7 linked regions of the Xenopus tropicalis genome follow. The main gene of each other region encodes a partner of the protein of the gene in region 5 in a complex. Links are inferred from orthologs where the notes say so. Each region holds a gene or a part of one and is shown on either strand. Other genes may lie near its edges. The genes, in order: trpm3, kctd5, kctd12, chrm2, gnb1, gna13 and ffar2.

What was found.
Region 1: the proteins of gnb1 (region 5) and trpm3 are in contact, whole or in part, in a crystal structure (PDB 6RMV), measured with the Mus musculus proteins. The link is inferred for Xenopus tropicalis from reciprocal best matches to the Homo sapiens genes GNB1 and TRPM3. Residues at the interface, in NP_001153488.1 of Mus musculus: Lys57, Tyr59, Trp99, Val100, Met101, Leu117, Tyr145, Gly162, Asp186, Met188, Cys204, Asp228, Asn230, Asp246, Arg314, Trp332; in NP_001349418.1 of Mus musculus: Lys615, Arg616, Lys618, Ala619, Lys621, Leu622, Leu623, Gly624, Met625.
Region 2: the proteins of gnb1 (region 5) and kctd5 are in contact, whole or in part, in a cryo-EM structure (PDB 8U7Z), measured with the Homo sapiens proteins. The link is inferred for Xenopus tropicalis from reciprocal best matches to the Homo sapiens genes GNB1 and KCTD5. Residues at the interface, in NP_001269468.1 of Homo sapiens: Arg52, Gly53, Leu55, Lys57, Tyr59, Gln75, Asp76, Gly77, Lys78, Thr87, Asn88, Lys89, Val90, Ala92, Pro94, Leu95, Arg96, Ser97, Ser98, Trp99, Met101, Leu117, Gly131, Asn132, Val133, Arg134, Val135, Thr143, Tyr145, Gly162; in NP_061865.1 of Homo sapiens: Val157, Arg159, Val160, Leu161, Gln162, Cys163, Gln164, Glu166, Glu167, Gln170, Met171, Thr174, Met175, Ser176, Asp177, Trp179, Ser190, Tyr191, Val205, Lys207, Leu209, Glu219, Ser221, Lys223, Ala224, Leu227, Gln228, Arg230, Gly231, Ser232.
Region 3: the proteins of gnb1 (region 5) and kctd12 are in contact, whole or in part, in a crystal structure (PDB 6M8S), measured with the Homo sapiens proteins. The link is inferred for Xenopus tropicalis from reciprocal best matches to the Homo sapiens genes GNB1 and KCTD12. Residues at the interface, in NP_001269468.1 of Homo sapiens: Arg8, Glu12, Lys15, Arg19, Thr184, Asp186, Cys204, Asp205, Ser207, Thr221, Thr223, His225, Glu226, Ser227, Asp228; in NP_612453.1 of Homo sapiens: Lys246, Asp251, Leu253, Glu255, Ser256, Arg257, Asp258, Pro259, Asp260, Arg261, Pro262, Pro263, Arg265, Arg269.
Region 4: the proteins of gnb1 (region 5) and chrm2 are in contact, whole or in part, in a cryo-EM structure (PDB 7T96), measured with the Homo sapiens proteins. The link is inferred for Xenopus tropicalis from reciprocal best matches to the Homo sapiens genes GNB1 and CHRM2. Residues at the interface, in NP_001269468.1 of Homo sapiens: His54, Leu55, Asp312, Asp333, Ser334, Phe335; in NP_000730.1 of Homo sapiens: Val50, Asn51, Arg52, His453.
Region 6: the proteins of gnb1 (region 5) and gna13 are in contact, whole or in part, in a cryo-EM structure (PDB 8H8J), measured with the Homo sapiens proteins. The link is inferred for Xenopus tropicalis from reciprocal best matches to the Homo sapiens genes GNB1 and GNA13. Residues at the interface, in NP_001269468.1 of Homo sapiens: Gly53, Leu55, Lys57, Tyr59, Gln75, Asp76, Lys78, Ile80, Thr87, Asn88, Lys89, Val90, His91, Ala92, Ser98, Trp99, Met101, Leu117, Asp118, Asn119, Tyr145, Asp186, Met188, Asp228, Arg314, Trp332; in NP_006563.2 of Homo sapiens: Ser31, Ile34, Asp35, Leu38, Glu41, Lys42, Val45, Lys50, Gly205, Ile206, Glu208, Lys219, Val221, Lys231, Arg232, Trp233, Phe234, Glu235, Cys236, Phe237, Asp238, Ser239, Val240, Arg279.
Region 7: the proteins of gnb1 (region 5) and ffar2 are in contact, whole or in part, in a cryo-EM structure (PDB 9CM7), measured with the Homo sapiens proteins. The link is inferred for Xenopus tropicalis from reciprocal best matches to the Homo sapiens genes GNB1 and FFAR2. Residues at the interface, in NP_001269468.1 of Homo sapiens: Arg52, His54, Leu55, Asp312, Ser334, Phe335; in NP_001357016.1 of Homo sapiens: Arg37, Gln38, Pro39, Gln40.

What each region holds. Positions count from the first base shown.
Region 1 is NC_030677.2:129,964,119-129,967,680, forward strand, and holds part of trpm3 (transient receptor potential cation channel subfamily M member 3), read right to left. Parts: intron 3,512-3,562; coding exon 3,383-3,511; intron 605-3,382; coding exon 353-604; intron 1-352. UniProt on the Homo sapiens protein: Constitutively active, non-selective divalent cation-conducting channel that is permeable to Ca(2+), Mn(2+), and Mg(2+), with a high permeability for Ca(2+).
Region 2 is NC_030685.2:28,840,801-28,844,898, forward strand, and holds the start of kctd5 (BTB/POZ domain-containing protein KCTD5), read right to left. Parts: upstream 2,822-4,098; 5' UTR 2,817-2,821; coding exon 2,619-2,816; intron 1-2,618. UniProt on the Homo sapiens protein: Its interaction with CUL3 suggests that it may act as a substrate adapter in some E3 ligase complex. Does not affect the function of Kv channel Kv2.1/KCNB1, Kv1.2/KCNA2, Kv4.2/KCND2 and Kv3.4/KCNC4.
Region 3 is NC_030678.2:126,319,926-126,324,187, reverse strand, and holds the start of kctd12 (BTB/POZ domain-containing protein KCTD12), read right to left. Parts: upstream 2,843-4,262; 5' UTR 2,652-2,842; coding exon 1,677-2,651; 3' UTR 1-1,676. UniProt on the Homo sapiens protein: Auxiliary subunit of GABA-B receptors that determine the pharmacology and kinetics of the receptor response. Increases agonist potency and markedly alter the G-protein signaling of the receptors by accelerating onset and promoting desensitization.
Region 4 is NC_030679.2:6,147,901-6,151,395, forward strand, and holds the end of chrm2 (muscarinic acetylcholine receptor M2), read right to left. Parts: intron 3,178-3,495; 5' UTR 3,129-3,177; coding exon 1,716-3,128; 3' UTR 548-1,715; downstream 1-547. UniProt on the Homo sapiens protein: The muscarinic acetylcholine receptor mediates various cellular responses, including inhibition of adenylate cyclase, breakdown of phosphoinositides and modulation of potassium channels through the action of G proteins.
Region 5 is NC_030683.2:91,943,772-91,947,333, forward strand, and holds part of gnb1 (guanine nucleotide-binding protein G(I)/G(S)/G(T) subunit beta-1), read left to right. Parts: intron 1-1,795; coding exon 1,796-1,862; intron 1,863-2,368; coding exon 2,369-2,570; intron 2,571-3,562. UniProt on the Homo sapiens protein: Guanine nucleotide-binding proteins (G proteins) are involved as a modulator or transducer in various transmembrane signaling systems.
Region 6 is NC_030686.2:50,664,724-50,668,833, forward strand, and holds the start of gna13 (guanine nucleotide-binding protein subunit alpha-13), read right to left. Parts: upstream 2,824-4,110; 5' UTR 2,539-2,823; coding exon 2,256-2,538; intron 1-2,255. Other genes in the region: regulator of G-protein signaling 9, read left to right, coding at 3,081-3,093. UniProt on the Homo sapiens protein: Guanine nucleotide-binding proteins (G proteins) are involved as modulators or transducers in various transmembrane signaling systems.
Region 7 is NC_030683.2:122,767,884-122,772,050, reverse strand, and holds the start of ffar2 (free fatty acid receptor 2), read left to right. Parts: upstream 1-1,360; 5' UTR 1,361-1,773; intron 1,774-4,167. UniProt on the Homo sapiens protein: G protein-coupled receptor that is activated by a major product of dietary fiber digestion, the short chain fatty acids (SCFAs), and that plays a role in the regulation of whole-body energy homeostasis and in intestinal immunity.

The sequences.
Region 1 (3,562 bases), on a different chromosome or scaffold from region 5:
TCAATACAACCATATGGATTTGTAGGTGTGTAGCACTAAAATAATTGTATAGTTTGTCTTTAGCCTGTATTTTCAGTGGAAGGTGCTGTATTTGGTAATTTTTTTTCAGCTGCAGGGTGGGGCCCAACACAGCCTGTGAGTCAGGTTTCCTTCCTACATTTGGTCTCTTGATATTATTAATATTGACAGAAAACGGAAAAGCATCAGCACAAGTTAGTCTTATTGAATTTTCTCTCACTGATTACTATACAATGGTGTCTGCGTAGAGTTTGGAACTAGTATTTAAAAATAAAATTGCAAAGCAAGATTTATACATATATGTGCATCATATAATAAACAGAAGATTTCTCACCATTTTTCCGATCATCATAACATATGGTCCAAGGTATTTGTTTACACCAAAGATATCAAGCAAGCGAATATACCAGTAGATAATGTTCACACAATATATCACTCTCCCATAGCTGCTAAAGGGTTGCTCTTGCAAGCGGAGTACCATCCCAATAGAAAAGAGCAGGATGGAGACGAGGTCTGCTAAATTCCAGTATTCTTGCAGCCATACTTTAAACTTTTGTAACAGCTTTCCTGGCTCGGACATCAAGATCTGTATGAACACAAAGCAGTATTACATAAAGTACTTGGCCCAAGCTCCCTTGCAAACCAAACATGCCGTAATTCTGTTTTTTCCATGCTGTAATTTAGCAATCCTAAAATGAACTTCACAAATCAAAAAGCCACTTTTGTCATCTTATATTAATAAACAAGGGATGTTTTACACCATATTGTAATATGGGCCCAAAATAAGCACTCCCTTTATGGTGTAAGAACTGTCATTACAAGTACATGTATGGGATCTGTTATCCAGAATGCTTGGGACCTGGGGTCTTCTGGATAAGGGAACTTTCCGTAGTTTGGATCTCCATGCTTTACGTCTACTCAAAATTCATTTAAACATCATTAAATACACCCAATAGGATTGTTTTCCATCCAATAAGGATTAATTAAATGTAAGTTGGGATCAAGTACAAGGTGCTGTTTTATTATTACAGAGAAAAAGGAAATAATTTCTAAAAATTGGAATCATTTGTTACAATGGAATCTATGGGAGATGGCCCTTCCGTAATTCAGAACTTTCTGAATAACTGGTTTCTGGATAACTGATCCTATACCTGTACAGTTATGAGACCAGTTGTCCAGAATGCTTGGGACTTAGGGCTTTCCAGATAAGGATTACATTCTACTAAAAAATCATTTAAACATTAAATAAAAACAACTGGATTGTTTTGCCTTCAACAAAGATTAATTATAGCCCAATTATAAATATAGTTGGGATCAAGTACAAGACACTGTTTTATTATTACAGACAAAAAGAAAAACAATTAAAAAATGAAATTATTTGATTCAAATTGAGCCTATGAGAGATGGCTTTCATGTAATTCAGAGCTTTCTGTATAATAGGTTTCTGGATAATGGATTCCATATCTGTACTGAGCTTTGGCGCTGCTGCTGCATGCTGCCCATAAGGTTCAAGTGCCTAATTTCTACAGCTCCAGAAGTCACTGAAGGCATCAACAATTATTCTGATGGGTCTAATCAAGTGCTTTACTTCTTAAACATTTCTCCACCCAATGTAAAAAAGTAAGAAGTTACTCAGTATATATATATGTAATACAACATAGAGACAACCCCCCCCTCTAAGACTGGCATATCAAGTCTTGGCCATAGCAGGGCCCTAGCATGTGTCTCAGAGGGGTGAGATTTCAATTTACACTGGTCAGACATACACCTGATACAGATATTCCCTCTGTGTGTTGAATTAATATATAACTAGCACACAGTAATGACATCAGCCCTGACAAGGCAGACCTTCCAGGATAAATGTAACTTTATCTGCCCAACAAGGGAGGTGTTGATTTTAAAGCATGGCCAGCATTCAGGACTCTGAAACAGAGAAATGTACATCTTCTTTTATTCCTTACTGTCAGACAAAGACAGTTTGTCCTCAGTATGATTATTTAACCTCATTTTACATCAGTAAATTATTTAAAAATGATAGCTATTGTATTATCTGTAGATATAAGAGGCCAGGCTCTAGCAAGAGATGCTTACTTTGCATTATTCCACCCTCACTTCAATATTTGAAACTTTAGCTCAGGAATTCGCATCAATATTATTCTGTTACAATATCTGCTAGACAGGAATGCTAGAATTAGATGTTTCTATATTTAGTGTCATTCTCAAAATTCATTTTTAGAAATTGCAGAATCATCAGTCATTCATTTTCACTGTAAAATAATAATGTAATAATGTGTTTTTTTTCAATATTCCCAGACAAGCATTAAAAGAATTGTGGATTGAGATCCACATAATGTACTATAGATAATGTTCTGTGCTTTTATTACTGCTCTCTGAATATCCAGTGAAATATATACAAACCCTAGATATGTGACTACAGGTAATATGTACTAACAGATTTTCATTATTAATTTGGTTGACTGACATTATTTGTTTGCGCCAGTCAAATAACACACAATAGTACAGATAAAATTGCAAAAGAGTAACTTTTTGCAGTGGTAAAATATTGTATTTGCAGTATTAGATGCTCACCAAAAACCAAAGCACATACAACCTTTTTATTTTTAATATTACAGTGTCCTCTAGTGGCTACTGTGGTTCTTTTCTTTAAATCTCTGACTACTATATATTTTTCATAGAAGAGTTCTGCAGCAGTAGGAAAGTGCTCTTGTCTTTTGCTGTATACTGAATATGGATGGAGCACACATTTGGGTGCCTTATATAGTGTAATTCTATAATATATAAAGTAATTATATAATAATGATGTAATAAAAATCATTATATAAAGTGAGCTTTATAACTGGTATAATACAGAATTAACTTTGAGGACATGTTTCAGGACACAATAGGATCAGCCTGCTCTACAACAGGTTAGGTAGTAAACAGCTGGACCAATATTGCAATGATCCAACTGGTCAGTTTATGAAGATATATGCATTTTGCTTGAAATGGTGGAGTAACCTTTAACAACCATTCATGGGTCATAAACCAAATGGTTAATTGGTTGCTATGGGTTTCAACACCAGTGCAAAGTTGCACCTGTGTTTTTATATTCTATCTGGCTATTACAGCAAAATTCTATTAGTTATTAACAAGAGCATGTGTTTATGTTTAACTTATCTGCAGTTATTAGTTCAGATAGCTGGATGATAAAGTGTCCATACAACAGTTATTTTTGTATGGTTGGAACACTTTACATATACTCTGTTATATATGGATTCCATACCTGTAGTTTTAACTGCCTGCATCTTATTAACTTATGGTTATTTTGGTAATAATTGGTAATAAATGTTTGAATCAGTTTTACCTCACGCATTTTTTCTATTCCCAGAGTGAAAATATATGAGATGACAATCCATTCCTGCATTGATGGCCAGCGGTCCATTTTAACTAGAACAATGTAGTTGAACAACATGAGGTAGCCCATATAGGCCATCTGTGGAAAGACACACAAATAAAAATGATTAGACAAAACATTTAGGGGGTT
Region 2 (4,098 bases), on a different chromosome or scaffold from region 5:
TTCACGGCTACTAAGTGCTCTGGCACACGGGGAGATTAGTCGCCCGCGACAAATCTCCCTTGTCTTGGAGCGACTAATCTTCCGAACTATCATCCCACCGGCGAACATGTAAGTCGCTGGTGGGATGGTATACGCTGCGCAGGCGATTTCGGCAAATTGACGAAGTTGCCTCGCGAGGCATTTTCGACGATTTGCCGAAATCGCGCCGCCGCGTGTGCCATCGCCGGTGGGATGGCAACTCGGGGAGATTAGTTGCCCGCGAACAGGGAGATTTGTCGCGGGCGACTAATCTCCCCGTGTGCCAGAGCCCTAAAAGCCATAAAATACCCTGCCATAGACAATACTCAGAATTGCCTCTGCTAAAACACATGTAGAGACAATTATCAGTAATGATATAGTAGCCATGACAAGTAGCTGCTACTAGTAGCTCTATGTGTCTTCACCCTTAGCAAACATTAAGTTATCAGGGTTTCCAAGCAAACTACACAAAAAGGCTGCCCCTATCCTCTCAAGAGCTGCACCTAGGATTACCTACACCACAGTCCTTAGTAAAAGATGCTGCCAAACACCCCTTTAAAACACAACAGCTACTCATGAACACCACTGTCCTGCTCTTATTTAACCAACTGCCTCGGACCACACTTAACCCAGCTACCTTTCCACTTTGTCCCAGAATGTCACTGTCAAACCCCCCTGCTGCTCCGCAATCACCACATGTACAAAGTCACAATGGCCCGGTCTAATAGTTTCCAATATGGCCAGTCTACAGGCAAAACCATGATACAACTTTGTCTGCACTTTCCTGGGAAATTGTATTAAAGGGATGGTTCACATTTACATTAACTCAGTATGTTACAGAATGGCCAATTCTAAGCAAATTTTCAATCTGTCTTCATTTTTTTTTTTTATAGTTTTTGAACTATTTGCCTTCTTCTAACTCTTTGCCCCTTTCAAACAGGGATCACTGACCCCCACAGCCAAAATATGATTGCTATGTGAGGCTATAGTTTTATCGCTACTGTTTATTACTTATTTTTCTATTCAGGTCTTCTCCTATTCATATTAATTAATTTGGATTCTAGCACCCAAATAGCTGCTGAAACTCTGAACAAAAACTGAAATAATTATAAAACGACAAATAAAAAATGATGACCAATTTCAAATTATCTCAGAATATTACCCTGATATACATAATACTAAAAGTTAACTCAAAAGTGAAAAGTAATGGTCAGTATCACACTCCAGATATGCTCTACTTGTTCAGTGCTGATGGGAAGAAAAGATGATTCCTAATGGCAGAACATTTTCAGCCAGTCCTGTGTGGCCTACTACCTCTCTTTAGCTTTGTGTTACCCACTGAACTTCTTCACTGCTCCTTTCAAACCTATTCACCATTGCTTTCAACCCTGTACTGCCGACTACCCTTACACTATTGCAGCCGCATTTTGCTCACTACCTCTCCAAGTAACTCCATTTGCTTAGATGCATTCACTCCCCCACACCCCTCTGTTTATCCAAACTCAATCACCCTTCTGCTCCACTAATCCCCGCTCACTTACAGACCCTTCTGCTCCACTAATCCCCGCTCACTTACAGACCCTTCTGCTTCACTAATCCCCGCTCACTTACAGACCCTTCTGCTCCACTAATCCCTGCTCACTTACAGACCCATCCATTCCACTAAGCCCTGCTTACTCACTGCCCCTTCAGATCACTAAGCTCTGCAAAATTACAGCTCGTCCTCTTCACAAAGACTTCCTTACTCACTGCCCCTCTAGACCACCAAGTCCCGCTCACCCACTTGTTCATCTACCTTACAAGCCCCACTCACATTACTGCCCCTCCGCTCCACTAAGCCCCACTCCCGTTACTGCCCCTCCGCTCCACTAAGCCCCACTCCCGTTACTGCCCCTCCGCTCCACTAAGCCCCACTCCCGTTACTGCCCCTCCGCTCCACTAAGCCCCACTCCCGTTACTGCCCCTCCGCTCCACTAAGCCCCACTCCCGTTACTGCCCCTCCGCTCCACTAAGCCCCACTCACGTTACTGCCCCTCCGCTCCACTAAGCCCCACTCACGTTACTGCCCCTCCGCTCCACTAAGCCCCACTCACGTTACTGCCCCTCCGCTCCACTAAGCCCCACTCACGTTACTGCCCCTCCGCTCCACTAAGCCCCACTCACATTACTGCCCCTCCGCTCCACTAAGCCCCACTCACATTACTGCCCCTCCGCTCCACTAAGCCCCACTCACATTACTGCCCCTCCGCTCCACTAAGCCCCACTCCCGTTACTGCCCCTCCGCTCCACTAAGCCCCACTCACATTACTGCCCCTCCGCTCCACTAAGCCCCACTCACATTACTGCCCCTCCGCTCCACTAAGCCCCACTCACATTACTGCCCCTCCGCTCCACTAAGCCCCACTCACATTACTGCCCCTCCGCTCCACTAAGCCCCACTCACATTACTGCCCCTCCGCTCCACTAAGCCCCACTCACATTACTGCCCCCCCCTGGCTCCCCCAATAGCGGCCCCACACAAGCCCCCAGGCCCTGCGCCCATAAGCCACCCACACATCAACTACAGACACTTTGTGCCCACTGCCCCTGAGTGTAGGTACCTTATCCGAGTCCAGGTCGGGGTCTGCCTGGCACAGGCGGTACAGAAAGGATTTCGGGTCTCTGCACAGGGTTTGCCGCGTTGTCAGGAAGCAGGTCCCCCCCACGTTGAGCCGGACCCACTTGGACACTCCGGGAGCAGCGCACCTTCTACAGACCGGGATCCCACTCCCATTCACCTCGCAACTATTCCCTGCCATGGCCGTCACTATCCTGCCACTGACAGCCCCGGAAGTGTCCGCTCTTTAAAAACCTCCCCTCCTCCTTCTAATTGGGCGCTTGCGTCATGCTAAACGGAAGCGGAAGGTACGTGCCAGAAGAAGGGGGGCTATATAGTCCGAAACACCTGCTGTGTACGTTAGAGAGCAAATAATCACGTAGTTGGTGCAGTGACCCTCCCATATCCCAGTTAAAGAAGTTGTTTGCCTTCCTTTTAGTATGATGTAGATACAATTTGCAGTTAGTTTTCATTTTTAAAGTTTGTGTTTTTCTAAACGTATTAGCGTTTTGTTCAAGTAGCCCTCTGGTTTGGAATTATTTCAGCTGCTATCTGGTTGCCAAGGTCCTATTTAGCTTAGTAACCAAGCAGTGGTCTGAAAGAGACACAAAAATATACATTGAGAATTGAGAGGCTTAAATAGAAAGAAAGGTAATAAACATTATCAATAACAAAATTGTAGCTTCAAAGAGCAAAAGTTTAGTAACTGCTGCCTGGGGTCAGTGAAAGCTGGAAAGAGCCAGAAGAAAAAAGCTATCCAAAACAAAAACTAAGGACCAACTGAAAAGTTGCTAAGTATAGGCCATTCATGGGGCACATTCATGAAAACAAGAGTTCCAATCCCGAATGGGATAAATTCGGATTGGATCCGATAATTTGTTAAGATTGCAAATATCACGAAGATGCTTACGAAAAAATCACATTAGTCACGATAATATCGTATTGGCGATCCAAAAGTCACAAAATTTTCGTACCGAACGATCGTAAACGGCGGGAAACCTTTCTGACTTTGATCCTTCTTTGCATGATTTTGGAAGTCTCCCATAGGAATCAATGGCACTCTGCAGCTCCAACCCGGCCCAAGGAAAGTCTCCCATAGGGCTCAATGGCACTCTGCAGCTCCAACCTGGCCCAAGGAAAGTCTCCCATAGGACTCAATGGCACTCTGCAGCTCCAACCTGGCCCAAGGAAAGTCTCCCATAGGGCTCAATGGCACTCTGCAGCTCCAACCCGGCCCAAGGAAAGTCTCCCATAGGGCTCAATGGCACTCTGCACCTCCAACCCGGCCCAAGGAAAGTCTCCCATAGGGCTCAATGGCACTCTGCAGCTCCAACCTGGCCCAAGGAAAGTCTCCCATAGGGTTCAATGGCACTCTGCAGCTCCAACCTGGCCCAAGGAAAGTCTCCCATAGGGCTCAATGGCACTCTGCAGCTCCAACCTGGCCCAAGGAAAGTCTCCCATAGGACTCAATGGCACTCTGCAGC
Region 3 (4,262 bases), on a different chromosome or scaffold from region 5:
TTAAAAAAGGGGTTTTAGCTCTCTTTATTTAATGTTTATGTGCCAGGAAATATAGGATACTGGTGAATGATGACAATGAATGTTTACAAACTCTATTTGTTTTCAGACAACACAGACTATTGATTATTTCAGTGCTTATGACAAAGTGTAACCAAGGCCTGGCTTTAGGCATTAAACTAGAGATACAGCTTGTACGTTACAGATGTCATGTGAGCATTAGAGATGTTAACTGTGCTGCTCCTGGGCATACATTCTACTCAAACAGTAGGTCATTTCAGTTAAGGTCAAATAAATACACATTTAAAGAAAATCAATCTTCTGTCTAATGCTATTAATATTTCCCACATCTCTTATTAATTGTGACTAGTCTCCTGTCATACTGTATGAAAAGAGTATTGTAAATCAGGAGAAGTCACACACACACTATATGGCAATATATTGTGACAGGACAACATTGGCTTCCTGCTGTTACCAGGTTCCCTTAGGACCTTAACCATGGCAAAGCTAATGCAAAAAAATAGCATTTTGTTCATCAGAGAGAAATATCTAGTTTGGTATATTTCACCATATTATCATAGTGCTATTTGTTTTTGGGGGGTTTATGCAAATAGTATTGCTGGATGGTGTTCTCCACAATTTCCCTTACCCTTTTTAATTATGTTCTAATTACTTTCAGATGAATAGAGCATAAAAAATGCAGTAGAAGAGGAAATATGTTATTATCTATTATTGAAACAGGAGCCAGCTCTAACCAGCTCCACATTATACACTCGGCATGATACACATCAAGCCTATTTACAGCACTTCCAATGAACTCTGTGGTTGCACAGTTCTCATCTGTGGGGCTCTCAAAAATATGCTGATGTATGAATTCATCATAATGAACCACAACCAAAACATTAAAATGAAAGGAAGGCAGTGTCTTGCCAAACAGAAGCCGTAAAAATGTTTTTGTTCTTTAGGAAGAATAAAAAGCTTGAATTAAGATTTAATTAATTTCCTTTCTGTAAGAAGCAGAAACCACTGTTAAAATGACCATATAACATAAAGATCATCTTGCTAGCTGATTTGCCTTGAATAGTATCAAATAAAAAGTACATTTTAAAAGAGACTGAGCATAACAGGGGATACAAAGATAACCTGAAATGTTCTTTTACCCTTCTCATTTTAATTTGTACCTACAGTAAAGTATATATATTTATGCTTGAGGGTATATTGGTAAAGAAATATGTGTTTCTGCATATCAGTCAAAAACATTTTAAATGATGTTAAGCAGTAGCATTTTTTGTATACTTCCCATAACTGAAAAATAATCTGATCACATGGGTTATTTGGCGTCGAATGCACAGTCCATTACTAAAAGGAAGTTGGTAAAAGCTGTTTAGTAGCAGGTAAACAACATTAATAAAGGAATGGCAAAGTTCTATAGCAGGGGTGGTATAACACAGAGTATTAGAAACATACCTAAGCCAGAGCTGTTGCAATCTGTTGCATTATACAGTTACCAAATGTTCTCTCTGTTCATAAGAAACCTACATGTAGGAATTAAAAATGACAATATTGCAGTTCACTTTTGCTGTTGTCTTTATATGAGGAAGAAATACCTTCTTTTTGGGATCAGGAGATTAAATAGGTGTGACACTTTTTCTTTCCATTTCTCAGTCTATGACAATGTTTTAGTCCCTGCAGAAGACATACTCGGTGTAGCTTGTCCAGACTTTATCCTCACTCTGGTCATTGCTGGCAAAGGCACATGTTCCAGTGGAACTACATGCCACCATGTGGAAGCCAGCTTCAGACAGCTTGTCAAAGGCTTGTTCCAGGAAGTTGAACTTGAGGTAATACCTGGAAGTGTACCTCTCAGGTGGCCTATCAGGATCTCGACTCTCATTTAATGTCTCTCCAAAAACTTCCTTGGCCAAGGAAGTTTTGCCACAGACTGTGATGCGAGCTACCCTCCGAAACTTGGCATCTGCTTGAGCCTCCCGTCCTATAGTATAAGACCCCCTATAGCCAACTGTTATGTACCCATTTCTTCTTCCTTCCAAAGACTGAGAAGGTGTGAGGCGTGGAACTGAGGCTGGGCTGCAGGACGAGGAGGCATTGAATCGATATGGATCTAATGTTGGGGATGGAACCCCAGCTGCTGGAGATGTTGAGGCAGGGATAACAGCTGTGTCTGAGTCAGGATCGTGTATAGCTGCAGGGGTTAGAAGTAAAGGTGGTTCTTCACCCCCAATAGAGCTCTCTTTACTGACTCGCAGAGGATTTAAACGCTTCACCAGTTCAGGTAGCTGAAAGTGCTCTGCTTCTCTCTGTAAACGGCTTCTCTCAGGAAAGTAGTCAGGTAGGACCAGCTGCAGGTCTCGTAGGTAATCCAGCACATAACGAAATAAGAAACCATCCCGGTCTAAGAAAAAACGGCCTTTACTGTCCCGGGCCAGTTCTCCTGGTTTCTGCTGAGAAAACATTCGCCATAGCAGGGAATCAGGTACTGATACAAGAGTAGTGTGACGGGTCACATAAACTTGTCCCCCAACATTTAGTTCCACAATCTCTGGGAACAGAGGATCAGAAGTTTTGTTTTCTGTACAACCTCCACCGCCACCTCCACCATTTGGTAATCCACGTGCAGTATCAGGTAAAGCCATGAAGACTAGGAGAAGGAAAATATTAATATACCCCTTCTAAAACAAAAAAAATGAAAAGGGTAAAAACACTTGGAAAAAAAAGAAGCATAAAAACCTGTTCTCGAGCAAAGCACAGTTTCAGCTAGGGCTGTGCATGTGCAGCCAAGATACACAGAAGAGCCGACTAGTCTGCTTCCTTCCTCCGCTTCTCCTTGTGTTTCTGATTGAGAGAGATGGCAGGGTCTGTGTTTTTATGTGGAAATGTACACTAGAGGCGTGGGAGGGAGGAGGGGAACGAAGAGAGAAAGCCCAGAGACAGCTGATCACATACACATACAAAAAGGGGATGTGTGCAGTACTGTATTTGCAAGCTTTGCAGCTGGATCCCTGCTGTTATCCACTCAAATAAAACCTGCACAGCTCTGCAACTTGCTTCTTCCTTCTCATAAACAGTTATTATTTCAAGGCATAAAAAGTAACATTAGCATTCATTCAGTCAAGTAGTCAGCAGCTTCCACTCATCTATCTTAATGCACAGTCTTGTAAGAATATGTTTGCTGGAAAGGGTAATTATAACATGTGAGACTGACATTCATGGAATAAAGGCACAGTCCAAGTCTCTAAAGAGCTCTATAGTATATCTGATACCTTCCTTTGTATAGCAGGCACAAAAAATACATTGCCAACAAATATGACACACACATTAAGTAGCAGCAGAAAAAGAATAGTATAGAAATATAGTTTTAAAAAGAATTGTTCCGATAGCTAAGTGATAAAAGCTGAACCTCATCTTATTTAGTTATATATTAAGTCAGCAGTAAGTAAATCCTTTAAGGTTTATGACTGCATTCTTATCTACAAATAATAGGGTTTATGCAGCATGGCTGAATACAGAATATACTGAGCACTGCCCATAACAGCTGTAAAAAGATGTTAATAAAAGATAGCTGACTATATATATATATATTGTATATATATATGCATTATGTTAGCATTACAGTCTAAAATGTCCATATTAGTATGAGAACACATTATTTTTCTTTTTCTCTTATTTTGTTCTTCCAAAAAAAAAAAGTAAAATATGCTATAATATCATCATAACATACATTATTTGTGTATGTCTTTTCATTCAGATACATAGGGTAAAAGGGTAACTTTTTCAGGTAAAGAGGAATTTACAGGCTAAGGTTTTGTCACATTCTCATACACACACTATGGCCAGTGTTGGACTGAAGTGGCAGGGGCCCACCATAAAACCCTGGACCGTGGGCCCACTCTCAGAACTTTTATTCTTCCTCTCCTCCCTCAAACTCTTTATTATCCTACTCTTTTTTCTCTACATACTATACTCTATTCTTCCATCTTGCAAGCTTCCTTGTCACCATACAGAAATAAGGAATGACTATGAAATAGGCTAAATAGTTAGAAGCAAAAGGGCTCACTGATACCTGGGCCCACTGGGAGTTTTCCTGGTATCCTGGTGGGCCAGTCCAACACTGACTATGGCCAATATTATGGCCAATATTAACTAGAATACCCAGAAGAAACTGATACAAGCATGGGAAGAACTTGCAAACTTCGTGTATATAGAGGAATATTTATCAAATAAATCAAACAACTCTCTGTTCACTT
Region 4 (3,495 bases), on a different chromosome or scaffold from region 5:
GGAATCGGTCAGGTAGGGTTGCAGTGGGGAAGACTAAAACCCACAGGACCCCAGGGTTGGACGGTTCTGGTCAGCATAACCACGTTTTTGAGCATTGTGGGAAGGTGGAGCCATCGTCACCCCAGTGAACCCAAGTCTTCCCTCTTTTCTTCTCCAACTTGCTATCTTTTATTAATATACTGCCAACATAGTGGGTTGGGTTTGGGTGGGAGAAGGTCGGTTACGCTCAGACACAAGTCAAATATTGTCGGCCAATGCATCACAACGCATCACAACTGTCAGGTTTCCTCTGTGGTTGGGACCCTTGATGGTTGTGTTGGCTTTTGCTGACTGCAAAAAAAGTTGGAACTTGTGGTGAAGATGGTACTTTAGGTAGATCATGGCCATGTTCTATTGGTTGTGGTCCTATACTAATTATATGGTAGGTCCAGGGTCAGAATGGGCTACCAGGCCACCGGGAAAAATCTGGTGGCCCAGACCCGACCCTTGCCGGCGCTCCCTCTGCCCAACTGTTCCTCCCAAGATGCGTTAAATTTACGTGCTCAGGGGAGGACGTTGGGTGGGGGACCCTGCAGGGGGTTAGGGGGGCACCAGGGGGGGGTGCGGTCAGGGGACGTAGCCGGCGGGGACACCTGCAGGGTGGGCCCTGCACCCTCCCCAGTCTAACCCTGGGTAGGTCCCACAGCCCAAGAGGCAGAGGTGGGCCATTCGGTATTAGCCAGGCCCTTGGGGGGTGGGGGGGTACACGGTTCTCCATGATTTATGATGGCAGCCTTCCCTGGGCATTGTGATCAAAAATATTAACAATATATTAACAATACAATCTGGAATAAAACATATAGAGCATGGATCAGCCTTACTGTCTACATCCCACTTAATGTTTAAGTTCAACTTTCCCTTTAAATGTCTCCAGACAGAAGAAACCCCCCCCCCATTCCAGCGTGTGTCGCCTCGTACTAAATAATATTATTGCATCTTTACTTTCCCTTTACGTCCCTGCGCTATTATCCAGCCTTTTCCTTTACGGATAGGGACACCTCCCATTCACCGCTATATCCGACTTCGAGTTTACATGTTTGCAAGACCATGTAGCGTTAATACATCTTATCGGTAATTACTGTAAAAAGAAAGAGAGGCTTCTGCATAAATAATCCCCTTTTCCCCATGAATTCAACACAGAACTCTGTACAGTGAATTGATTGGCTAGTTTGTATCCAGGAAGCTCTAATGTGGCCCCCGCGGGGCCCCCGATCGTGAGAGATATATTTTTGATAGACAAGTCACTGAAAACACTGAGGCACAGAAGAAACCAGTTTAAACGCTTAGGATAAATATTGGGAAAAAAAAAACCCCAAAAAAATTCTGCGTCAAACTTGGGACTTTGTGAGTCATGTCAACGTCATTTTTGTTCAATACTCTGCCACTCGGTTTCCTTGTAGACGTAACGACTCGTTAAAGTGTGAATATCGTAGTAATACAGACATGGAATTAACTGGGGAGCCAAGGAGCCCTTGAGAGTCCGTCAACGAAAGAGCACGAAGTTGTACCCAGGTTCGACTTCAATGGTTTCCAAGTTCTAAGTGCGGGTGGAGAAGACCCACCAGTCCCGGCGAGGTTCTTTGATTGCACATTCCGTTTATGAGTGTAAAGTGCTATGGCATTATATTAAAATGGCAGCTCGGAAGGTCTCCGTCTCCTCCACCTCCGAGTATTTTTTACCTAGCCGAGCCGATGTTTTTATACTGGCACATTAGGAGGTGCTTGAAAGTCTTCTTGAAGGTGGTATTGCAGAGGGCGTAGCAAGCAGGGTTGATGGTGCTGTTGATATAGCAAAGCCAGTAGCCGATAGTCCAAACGGTGTTGGGCACGCAGACGGCACAGAAGGTGTTAATTAAAACCATGACGTTGTACGGTGTCCAGGTGATAATGAACGCAAGCAGAATGGCCAAGATTGTCCTTGTGACTTTCTTTTCTCTGGAAGGTGGAAGCTTCTTCTTGGGAGGCTGTTTGGTCATCTTTACAATTTTGCGGGCAACTATGTTCTGCTTGTCTTCTCCGTTGCGTCCGTTGGCCCCTGGGACGATCTCCACGGTGGTGCCGGTGGCATTAGAACAATCGCCCTTCGGGGACTTTGTCACTATCCGTATGCACGTGAGCTTGGAGTTCTCCGTCTTTGGATTGGCTTGAGATCCCGAGGCCTGTGGGACGTCTTTGGCGGCACCTTCGTCCTTGGTGTTGACGACGCTGACCGACGTGGAGTCGTTGGAGATCTCTTTTTCTTCCCCTTCTGCCTGGACGCAGTTTTCGATGCCGGAGTTGCTCGTGACTTTGCCGTTCTGGATTTTCCCATGGTCCAACCCGTCTTCGTTGGCGGCCACGTTGTTGTTATTTGGTTTTACGATTTTCCCTTGGACATTACTAGGAGATATTGGGTCTTGATTGGGCGCTGCCTCTTTTTTGCCCTTCTTGATCCGGCTTTTGCTCGCTCTCGATATCTGCCAGTACAACACGGTCATGATAATGACGGGCAAGTAGAAGGCAGCGATAGCCGTGCCAAACGTGACCGCGGCATTGGAGAAGAACTGGATGTAGCACTCACCTTCTGGGACAGTTCTCCCTCCAACGATAAACTGCCAAAAAAGTATAGCAGGCGCCCATAGAATAAAAGATAGCACCCAAGCGGCGGCAATCATCATGCCTGCCATCTTGGTGGTGCGCCTCACTGGATAGGTTAGAGGTTTGGTGACACAGAAATACCTATCAAAGCTGATGATGAGAAGGTTCATGACTGAAGCATTGCTGACGACGTAATCCAAGGCCAACCATAGGTCGCACACAACAGGTCCTATCGGCCAGTACCCAATCACAGTGTAGAGAGTATAGAGGTTCATGGAGAAGACCCCGATGATCAAGTCAGCGCAGGCTAAGCTGAACAAAAAATAGTTGTTGACAGTCTGAAGGTGTCGGTTGACTTTTATGGAGACCATGACCAAGATGTTTCCAATGATGGTGACCAAGCTGAGGGATCCAGCCACAATCACAATGAAGACCACCTCTACCGTTTTGTAAGGGCTTCCCATCATGGTCTCATTGGTTGAGGACACGTTGACTAGGCTTGAGTTATTCATGATTGCAGATTAGACAGCTCCTCAATGACTCTCTAGAGACCATTTACACCTGGGGGAGAGAGGAAAAAGGAAACTCATTACCCACCAGAACGTCAACTGTAAGTAAGAACTAAAGGGGAACTTTACCCAAAGTCTGTATTTTTGCCTAATGAAAGAAAATGTTATTGTAATCAACATTAGTGATGAGCGAATTTTTTCGCCAGGCATGGATTCGCAGCGAATTTACGCATTTCGCCATTGGCGAATTGTTTCGCAAAACTTCTGTGAAAATTCAACGTGGAAAAATGCGTTGCGCACAATTTTTTTTGGTTGTGCATCAAATTGGGCGTGGTCATGTCAAAAAAGGCGCGGTCGCATCAAATTGGTA
Region 5 (3,562 bases):
AACAACACAGGGGATTACATATTTAAACAATACAACCTGATTACAGCCTGAATCTGAGGTGGGAACCATGCAGGGGGGGCAGTTAATCTCAGTACTGATACCACTTAGAGCTTACACAAGAGTAAGCCATCAAAGCAGCCAGACAGGTGGGGGGCCACACAGAGGGGGGTCGCGGGCCGCATGCGGCCCGCGGGCCGCCAATTGGACAGCACTGCTTTAAGGCATCCAAGGGGGGGCAGGCCTAGGTAGGACTGCTTAGCCTAATGGCAATTAGCAGGTAAATATTGGTTGAATGCGGTCTTGCATATTTCTTGAAGCCCAATCCGCAGGCTGATTATGATGAAACTTGTGACATTTGCTGTCCTTTGCTGTATTTCACTAGTGAGAAGACTAATGTGACATTTTTTTATGCATTTTCAACCAAACATTTTACAAAGGGGCTTGGGCCAAAATTTGTCCAAGAACATTAAGGCCTTTATCACTCTACACAGATGTCTTGTTCTCCCTGCACTGAGAGGCAGATACAGCTGCAGAATGTCTGTATTGGTCCTTTATGGCAGGGGTCCCCAACCACTGGGCCGGGGACCGGTGCCGGGCCGTGCTGAACTGGGCCACCTCTGGTCCCAATTACCTGTGATCCCAACTCCATGACAACTGCTATGTGAAGCCCAGGAAGCTTTCTACTGATCACAAAAAGGACCAAAGTACTTAAAGCTATATATTAAGTGTCAGAGGATGTCCCCACTTGGGTGGGAGTAAGCAGAGCAGAGGGGCTGGGTGCATCTAGTTGCTGATTTTGTATTATGATGAGCTGTATTATACCCACCACCCCTGGTCCTCAGAAAAATTGTCTTGCTTGAAACCGGTCCCTGGTGCAAAAAAGGTTGGATACCACTGCTTTATGGCAATCATATACAGATTTACAGGATTGTCAGATCAGTTGTTTGGTCCTGCTCCTTGATTGCTCTGAGACTCTGGATCCTTTCACATAACACAATCCATTTTTACCTCATTTTGATTCCATAGTCTTAAAAGACTAATCCCTTTCTCGTAAAAATCACAAGCTTAGCAGTGATTCCACCATATGTACTGCTGTTATGATGTGTATCATTAATGAATTGTGTTTTTATACTTATTTGGGTTTAATAAAGACATTATTTGTCCTGTGAGCAACACATCTGAAACCTTAAACACAGTATGATGTGATAGCAGCAGGTATTGGGCAAAACTTAGATTATTGGTATTAATATGTTACAGCATAAGGGGTCTATTTGTCCCAGATGTAAATACAAAAGATGTTGTGATAACATCTTAAGATGTTAATACAAAAGATGTACCCTTGTTGGTAGCAGAACAGTCCTGTTGTGTTTTTTTTTTAATACTTAAATTACTTTTTAAGTATGGTGATCCAAATTGCAGAAAGCCTCCTTTTCCGGAAAACCAAATTTCCCAAGCATTCTCGATAACTGGTCCCATATCTGTACTACTTTTTGACTTTGGACACCATCGTCCATTAATGGCCATAAGCTTATAAATGCTAATATTGATAGATAGCAACTATAATTAACTTTAAACATTACACATCTTTTGTATATCTGTTTAATGTGAGATGCTAATTCAGACTGGATCACTCCACAAAATGGTAGTTTGTTAAATAAAAAGTCCACCTTTCAGATTAATTTATAGTATTAGTAAATTATACACGGACTTTATTACCATTATTATGTTTATACCAAAGTCCTTGGATGTTGTATGGTTTTAATTCAAGCTGTTTTAATCATCCGTTTTTCTACAGGGTATCTTTCCTGCTGCCGTTTTCTGGATGATAACCAAATAATTACCAGTTCTGGAGATACCACTTGGTGAGTTTATTGATCCCCTCAGTTTGTTTATAGTCTCTAAAGAAAGCTACTGTACTGCTGTCAGCATAGTATTTCCCTGTACTGTGAAAGTATTATAAAATATCCCTTAAAGCAGTAGGAAAGATATAGTCACTGGGGCCAAATGTTAGCCACTCCCAGTGATTGTAATCGCTTACCTGATACCTCAGGCCAGTGCTCCTGTCAGCTAACATTTTGGCACCCCCCCAGTGATCATACCTTTCTGTCTCCTTTAATAGCAGAAATAGGCTTCTGTTCATAATTAGGATTTATGTTCTATACAAACTTTTCACAATTTAGAGAGATGGGGGGGGCTAATTTGTCAGTGTATGAAGAATGACTTGGCCTAGCTGCCTGTTTAGCATCAGAGAAGCTTCCATCTTTTCTTTTATATTTATATAATATATATATATAGTGTGTGTGTATATATATAATATGTGTTTCTGTGCCTTTTGATGCTTTGAGCTCATCTGTCTCTTTCTGAACAGTGCCCTTTGGGACATTGAAACTGGCCAGCAGACAACAACCTTTACTGGACACACTGGGGATGTTATGAGCCTGTCCTTAGCTCCAGATTCCAGGTGCTTCGTGTCTGGAGCCTGTGATGCATCTGCCAAACTTTGGGACATTCGAGAAGGAATGTGTAGACAAACCTTCACTGGACATGAGTCGGACATAAATGCCATCTGTGTAAGTCTATGTGACCACCTGTTTCTATCCAAACTTGTCTTATCCATATGACTGCCAAAAGGTTTGCCATGTTAAGGGCACGTTGGGTAAAGTATGGCTACGCAACACTCTTTTCATGTAGCATAAATTTAAAGTGCATCTATCGACTCCCATATTGTTTCCCCCTCCAGAGGTTGGGCTAATAGAGCCTGCACGCCAGTTGGGTAAAACGATAGTTTTACCCAACTGGTGTTTTAACCCCGGCCTGGAGCGAGCTCCCGGTGCAGGCGACCATGTTTGGCTTGCATGCGTATATTGAGCAAATCTCACCGCTCACTCATTTATACACATGCCCCTGGCATGGGAGCGTTGGATGCAACTCACCCTCCTACATCATGCATGCACATAATGAACGAGTTGTGGCACTCGCTTATTATGCGCATGTGTTACAATATGGCTGCCTGCACCAGAAGCTCCCTCCTGGTGGGGGTAGCCTAGCACTGGCAGGGGGCATTTGAATAAAAAAAAATCAACACTGCGGGTAACTATCCAAAATAATTAAACAACAAATTAGGCTACATATACTACACTTTATATTGTGGGTTTCTGTACCAGACCAAAGCCACTACCTCCCTTTAGCAGATGAAAGGAAAACTAAAGCTTAACTAAAGAAGTAGGCTAGAAATGTAGTACCAGCCCAAGGCAACCACAGCCTTCTGCTGATTCACTGCACAATCTCTGTGTTGTTACTGAGCTTAGGGAACCAGTCACAATGAACTGTATATATAGAATATAAATGTCACAATATAAGGCTGATAAGTAATCAATACAAATAATTGCTGCTTGGCAGCTCAGAAACCAATGCAATTAGCATCAGAATTTAATAATCAGCTCCCAAGCGTCTTCCCCCCTATGACAGACAAACCTCATTTTCTGCTTGATAATTTGCTAAGAACCCCAAGCTTAGATTTTCAACAGCTGCCCAAAGCACATTGAGCATGTCACTGACACTT
Region 6 (4,110 bases), on a different chromosome or scaffold from region 5:
CCCGGTTACCCTATCCAAGGGTTAGTGTCACTGAGGGGCCATTACTGTACGCTGTACTTACTAAAGGGGAAGATGAACCACTGATGACACCCCTCTGGGCTGCCCAGCTTTGGGGGTAACTTTGCAGTGGTAGCCAAGTTGATCATTTTGACACAATTGCCCCCTCCCCAAATTCCGCAAAATCTGCCCAAACCCCAGGGGTATCTACATCCCTCCCCCCATGGATCTAATTAATCCTTGCACAGGTTACCCAAAGGTCCCATTATAATTGCCCCCTTTGGTGTCACTTGGATGTCATTACCAACAAGCACATGTATGCCCCACTAGGGGTAACTAGAGAACACTGGGGCCCCATAATATGGACCCCCCCCCCCGGTACCTTGTAAACATACAGCAACTGTCACCCAGTCCCAGATAACTTCACACGTGATGTCAACGCCTTCAGTGCCACGTCCCACCCTGCCCCCTGGGGTATTAGTAAGGATGTTGTGACCCCCGGGGTGGCACCAATAGTGCTGCTGTGGGTAAGCACTTCCCCAATATAACCGTGCCCCTCTGAAAGGGTAAAATTTGACGATGTACAAACTATTACCCCCACTACTGGAACTGGGGTACCTTTATATAGCGCTCGCCACTCAAACCCCTGGGGTAACGGGGCTACTGATGCCCCTTAGCACAACCGCCCCCCAGGAACAAAATATAATGCTGCTGCAGATACTCCGCCAATCTAACTGTCCAACAAAGGGGTAGATTTTTGGATAAATGCCCTGGGGTATATTGGAAGACATTTCTGTAGATACCCCTAGCCCATACATATAGGTTTGTTTTAGTTGCCCTACATACCCCCCTAATCACTTCCCCAGGGTAATTAACACACTCCTGCACATAGGGGGTACACTGATGGGGCAGGTTTGGGTACCCCCAGTTTAAGTGCCACCCTTGTGTGTAGGTTTGCTATTGTTGCCCTACATACCCCCCTAATCACTTCCCCAGGGTAATTAACACACTCCTGCACATAGGGGGTACACTGATGGGGCAGGTTTAAGTAAACCCAGTTTAAGTGCCACCCATGTGGGTAGGTTTGCTATCGTTGCCCCTCATACCCCCCTAATCACTTCCCCGGGGTAATTAACACATTCCTGCACATGGGGGGGGGTACTCTGATGGGGCAGATTTAGTTACCCCCAGTTTAAGTGCCACCCCTGTGGGTGTTTGCTATAGTTGCCCTATATACCCCTAAAATCACTTCCCCGGGGTAATTAACACATTCCTGCACATACCCACCTCACATACGGGGGCAATCTGATGGGGCAGGTTTGCTATTGCTGCCCTACATACCCCCCTATTCACTTTCCCGGAGAAATTAACACATTCTGCATGCGGGGGGGGGGGGGGAGCAATTAGGTACCCCCAGTTTAAGTGCCACCCCTGTGTAGGTTTGCTATAGTTGCCCTACATACCCCCCCTAATCACTTCCCCAGGGTAATTAACTCATTCCTGCACATAGGGGGGCACTCTGCTGGGGCAGGTTTAGTTACCCCCAGTTTAAGTGCCACCCCCATGGGTAGGTTTGCTATAGTTGCCCTACATGGGGGTATGTAGGGCTAGTCACGTCCCCAGGGTAATTAACACATTCCTGCACATGGGGGGGTATCCTGCTGGGGCAGGTTTAGTTACCCCCAGTTCAAGTGCCCCCCATGTGGGTAGGTTTGCTATAATTGCCCTACATACCCCCCTAATCACTTCCCTGGGGTAATTAACCCATTCCTGCACATGGGGGGGGTATCCTGCTGGGGCAGGTTTAGTTACCCCCAGTTTAAGTGCCCCCCCTGTGCGTAGGTTTGCTATAGTTGCCCTACATACCCCCCTAATCACATCCCCGGGGTAATTAATCCATTCCTACACATGGGGGGGGGGGTATCCTGCTGGGGCAGGTTTAGTTACCCCCAGTTTAAGTGCCCCCCCTGTGGGTAGGCTTGCTATAATTGCCCTACATACCCCCCTAATCCCTTCCCCGGGGTAATTAACCCATTCCTACACATGGGGGGGTATCCTGCTGGGGCAGGTTTAGTTACCCCCAGTTTAAGTGCCCCCCCTGTGGGTAGGTTTGCTATAATTGCCCTACATACCCCCCTAATCCCTTCCCCGGGGTAATTAACCCATTCCTACACATGAGGGGGGGGGGGTATCCTGCTGGGGCAGGTTTAGTTACCCCCAGTGGGTAACTAGTGACACAATTGCCCCGGGCCGGGTACCTTTGATGACGTTGCTGTAGATGGTTGCCCGGAACTCCTCCTTGGCCCGCAGGTCGAAGTCCTGCCCGTGGATGATGCGCATCTGCTTGAGGAAGGTGGACTTGCCGCTCTCCCCGGCCCCCAGCAGCAGGATCTTCACCAGGCGCTTGACGTAGGTTTTCTCCCGGGAGAGGCAGCGATCGATCTCCTTGGACTTGCGCTGCTGCTCGGCCTCCCGGCTGGTGAGCACACAGTTGGGGAAGCACACGGACAGCACGGAGCGGGACGGCAGGAAGTCCGCCATCTTACACACACTCGCCCTGGCTCACTCCTGCCTCATCGGCGGCCCTGGGACGGGGGAGCGGTCCTGGCGGTGCGTGCGCGGGAGCGGCGCTGGGTGGGTACGTGCGCGCCCCCGACTCCTTTCGCTCTGAGTGGAAGGCGGGAACGCGCGGTTCCTTCCGTTCGCTAAGGCGCCGGTGTGTGAGGCAGAGAAAGCGGCTATCGTTTCTCTAGGGTTCCGCCGCGCTGGGAAACGTCTCGTCTACACCGAGCAACGCGGGAACTGGGGGCGCGGCCCGAACCCGGCAACACCATCCGCCATCTTGCAACTCTTCCTCACGTGATGCTTCCTTTGCCCTTCTACTGGCTAGCGCACCTCGTCATGTGATCCTCCTTCTGCAATTCTATTGGCTGCCAGACACTTCGCTCTCTAGACTTGCTCCATCTTGCTGAGGGGCTTCTGTTCTGTGGTGTCAATTGCCCCTCATTCTGTGGCAGGATACCCCTTCTGTAGGCTGCCTGAGAAATTACTCTCCCCTATAAAAGCCTCAGCTTACTGAAGAGATGAGAGGCCAAAGTAATACCTCTATATTTTATTATTATTTATATATAATATTCAGTTTGGTCATTTTGCCCTTCTACTTGCAGTCTGGCGGCTATCGCACCTCATCATGTGATTCTCCTTCTGCAATTCTATTGGCTGCCAGGAAGTTTGCTCTCTAGACTTGCTCCATCTTGCTGAGGGGCTTGTGTAGTGTCAAATGCCCCTCATTCTGTATATAGATGTATATATATATATATATATAAAGTGCCATGTGGTATGAGACACAGTAGGAAGGAGGTCCCTGCCCCGTAGCGCTTACAATCTAAGTAATTATATAACCCATTATTGTACTGCGCTATGGAATATGTTGGCGCTTTATAAATACATGTTATTAATAATGACTAGGGATGCAGCAAACCCACTTTTTTGGGTTCGGCCGAACCCCCAAACCCACCCCGACGGATTCTACTGAATCTCAAACCAAATCCGGGATTCGGCGCAGCCCTAATAATAACTGGTTATGTCCATGCAAGGGAATTTCATGTTAACCATTTGCACTCATTATTGCTAAGGGGGTTGGTACCGTAAAGGAGTTGCCCACCTTTGAGTTACTTTTAGTATGACGTAGAGAGTAACATTCTGAGACAATTTGCAATTGGTCTTCATTTTTTATTACTTGTAGATTTTTAATTATTTCAGGTTTTTTGTTCGGCAGCTTGCAGTTTCAGCAGCTATTTGGTTTCTAAGACTCAAATCACCTTAGCAACCAGGGAGTGGTTCGAATGAGAGACAGGTATATTAATAGGAGAGGGGCTGAAAAGAAGAATAAGTGATATAAAGTAACAATAACAATAAAACTGGAGCCTCACAGAGCAATAGGGTTTGGCTGCCGGGGTCAGTGACCCCCATTTGAAAGCTGCAAAGAGGCAGAGGAAAAAGGCAAATAATTCAAAAACAAAAAATGAAGACCAGTTGAAAAGTTGCTTAGAATTAGCAATTCTATAACATACTTAAAGGTGAACCACCCCTTTAAAGGAATATATAGCCAAC
Region 7 (4,167 bases), about 31 Mb from region 5:
AATAGCCCTCAATAGTAAGAAATCCAAGTCCGGCTTGGGACTCCTCCAGTTACATGGGAGTAGGAGAAACAATAGGTTAGCTGAAAGCAGTTCTAATGTGTAGCACTGGCTGAAAGCTCAGACTCAGGCACACTTTACTGCTGCGCTGCAAGTTCGAGCAATATCCCCCCCCCTCACCCCCAGCAGCCAATCAGCAGAACAATGGGAAGGGAGCAAGATAGCAGCTCCCAGTAGGTATCAGAATAGCACTCAATAGTAAGAAATCCAAGTCCGGCTTGGGACTCCTCCAGTTACATGGGAGTAGGAGAAACAATAGGTTAGCTGAAAGCAGTTCTAATGTGTAGCACTGGCTGAAAGCTCAGACTCAGGCACACTTTACTGCTGCGCTGCAAGTTCGAGCAATATCCCCCCCCCCCTCACCCCCAGCAGCCAATCAGCAGAACAATGGGAAGGGAACAAGATAGCAGCTCCCAGTAGGTATCACAATAGCACTCAATAGTAAGAAATCCAAGTCCGGCTTGGGACTCCTCCAATTACATGGGAGTAGGAGAAACAATAGGTTATCTGAAAGTAGTTCTAATGTGTAGTGCTGGCTCCTTCTGAAAGCTCAGACTCAGGCACACTTTACTGCTGTGCTGCAAGTTGGAGTGATATCCCCCCCTCACCCCCAGCAGCCGATCAGCAGAACAATGGGAAGGGAGCAAGATAGCAGCTCCCAGTAGGTATCAGAATAGCACTCAATAGTAAGAAATCCAAGTCCGGCTTGGGACTCCTCCAGTTACATGGGAGTAGGAGAAACAATAGGTTAGCTGAAAGCAGTTCTAATGTGTAGCGCTGGCTGAAAGCTCAGACTCAGGCACAAGGCACTGAGATGGCGCCTACACACCAATATTACAGCTACAAATACATTTGTTGGTCCAAAAATAAAATGTTCAATGGCAGAGGGAATTATTTGCTATGTAACAGTGTCATTTAGAAATAAAAAGCAGTAAGATGAAAGAATAACTTACAGAAATAAAACTGATCTATCTATGGTTGTTTCATTCGTTCATTTGTTAGAATTTAATATTGTTCTTGTTGTTATGGGACAGTCTCTAAAGCCATATATACACATTGTACTGTAAAATGTAAAATATCAGTAAAAATACTGATGGACAAAAAAAGCCTTATTGCTCTATTCTTGCTCAGTCTCATTGCTCAGTATTCCCCCCATTTGTTTATTTTGGATCTTTCTTGTGAAATCTGTGATATTCCTCTGCTGAGGTTCATGTGTTTCCTTTGGTCTCACCCCCCCTCCCTCCCTCTTCTGTATATTTGCAGTTTAATAGAGAGATTGCTGCGTCCGTTGGCTCATTTCTGCCTCTTGCAGAGGATGGGGAGACACGTGACTGGCTCTTGTGTAAGTTTGTTTAAGTGACAGGAGCCCAGCAGAGCGGAGGAGCAGACAGAGAGTGAAGTGCCGGAGCCGGAGCCAGATTCTAGCAGCCTCCTTAGGGCTCATGTCTTGCTCTTACACAGGGAACATGTGACCCAAACTCTTGCACCCTACAAGGCTTATTGGATAAAGGATATTTATCCCCTAATTACAGGTCATATTGGCCAAGAAGCATTATTAAGATATATACCCACCTAATACTTATACCTAATTACCACCCCAGGAGGAGCCATTTGGGATGCGGAGGCACCTGATTTTGCTCATTATTTTTGGACTTGATGTGGTGCCCTGGAATCTTTAAGAGGATTTGGATTTTCATTACCAGACTGAAGGCAAAGGTGATTATACACACTCCATGAAACTTTATACTTTATTGTATTTTGGAACCTTTTCTCTGTAATAATAAAACAGTACCTGTACTTGATCCCAACTAAGATATAATTACCCCTTATTGGGGGCAGAACAGACCTATTGGGTTTATTTAATGGTTAAATGATTCCCTTTTCTCTGTAATAATAAAACAGTACCTGTACTTGATCCCAACTAAGATATAATTACCCCTTATTGGGGGCAAAACAGCCCTATTGGGTTTATTTAATGGTTAAATGATTCCCTTTTCTCTGTAATAATAAAACAGTTCCTGTACTTGATCCCAACTAAGATATAATTACCCCTTATTGGGGGCAAAACAGCCCTATTGGGTTTATTTAATGGTTAAATGATTCCCTTTTCTCTGTAATAATAAAACTGTACCTGTACTTGATCCCAACTAAAATATAATTACCCCTTATTGGGGGCAGAACAGCCCTATTGGGTTTATTTAATGGTTAAATGATTCCCTTTTCTCTGTAATAATAAAACAGTACCTGTACTTGATCCCAACTAAGATATTATTTATCTTTATTGAAAGCAAAACAAACCTCTTCAGGGGCCCTCAACTGCCCTCTCACCCACCACTACCCCCTTCCCCCCATGTACCTTATATTTAACTGTAATCGGGGGACCGACCTTGGTTGCTTCAGTAATTGAGGTGCAGGACAGGTTTATGGGGACAAAAATAAATCTGATAGCAAAGCTTAGGGGTAGGGATACCTCTCTGCATCTGGACCAGTACTAATGGTATTGCTTATGCTCCAGCCAGGTAGGAAAGGTTCCCATGCCTAGGAACAGATCAGCAATAGAGATTTACAAGAACAGATAAAAGTAACATAGAAATTGAGGGAAAAAAAGACAGAAAGTGTGAGAAAACGGAAGAAATAAATAAAAATAAATGGGGAAGTAATAAGAAGTGATACAGAATATGAGAAAAGAAGCTGCAGAAATGAGACATATAGAAAGTAATAGCGATGGGACAGATATGGCGGTAAGTGGAACTTGGTCTCTGCTGTTTTGAGAACTTCAGTTGTAGTTTATGTGATTAAGATCTAACCTACCATTAGAATAATGATATCTCCTTATGTATAAGCATAAACTCCAATAAACTAGTGTTAGTAACACCAGGGATATGAACTGATTCTGCAAATCTGTGGTTATAAATAAATGTCGATGCTTCATTGACTCCCACCCCTTAATATACAAGCAACATGCCTCCATATCAATATATATGCAGAAAATATATGTTTTTAGTGGAGCAGTTTATAGAGTTTAAGCTCTACATGCAGGATTTGGGTGTATTTGCTTTCAAATACAGGCATAGGACCCGTTATCCAGAATGCTCGGGACCAAGGGTATTCCGGATAAGGAGTCTTTCCGTAATTTGGATCTCCATACCTTAAGTCTACTAAAAAATGAATAAAACATTATTTAAACCCAATAAGGGGTAATTATATCTTAGTTGGGATCAAGTACAGGTACTGTTTTATTATTAGAGAGAAAAGGGAATCATTTAACCATTAAATAAACCCAATAGGGCTGTTCTGCCCCAATAAGGGGTAATTATATCTTAGTTGGGATCAAGTACAGGTACTGTTTTATTATTACAGAGAAAAGGGAATCATTTAACCATGAAATAAACCCAATAGGGCTGTTCTGCCCCCAATAAGGGGTAATTATATCTTAGTTGGGATCAAGTACAGGTACTGTTTTATTATTACAGAGAAAAGGGAATCATTTAACCATGAAATAAACCCAATAGGGCTGTTCTGCCCCCAATAAGGGGTAATTATATCTTAGTTGGGATCAAGTACAGATACTGTTTTATTATTACAGAGAAAAGGGAATCATTTAAACATAGAAATAAACCCAATAGGGCTGTTCTGCCCCCAATAAGGGGTAATTATATCTTAGTTGGGATCAAGTACAGATACTGTTTTATTATTACAGAGAAAAGGGAATCATTTAAACATAGAAATAAACCCAATAGGGCTGTGTGAAATCTGGCACAAGAGACCCAATTCAAAAAGCCACCTCAGGATGTTCTATTTATAGCTAGAGATCTAAATATGGAAGGGAAACTCTTTGGGGGAAGTTATTTTTTCCTATAAAAAGGATCAACGCACCAGAGGTCACCCCTTTAGAATAGAGGAAAAGAACTTTCATTTGAAGCAGCGCAGGGGGTTCCTCACGGTGAGGGCAGTGAGATTGGGGAATGCACTTCCTAGTGATGTAGTGATGGCAGATTCTTTTAATGCCTTTAAAAGGGGCAATACCTTAAAACATAGTATCCAAGGCTATTGTAATATTAAAATCTACAGTTAGTATTAATGTTGGAATATATGGTTTATGTAAGTGAG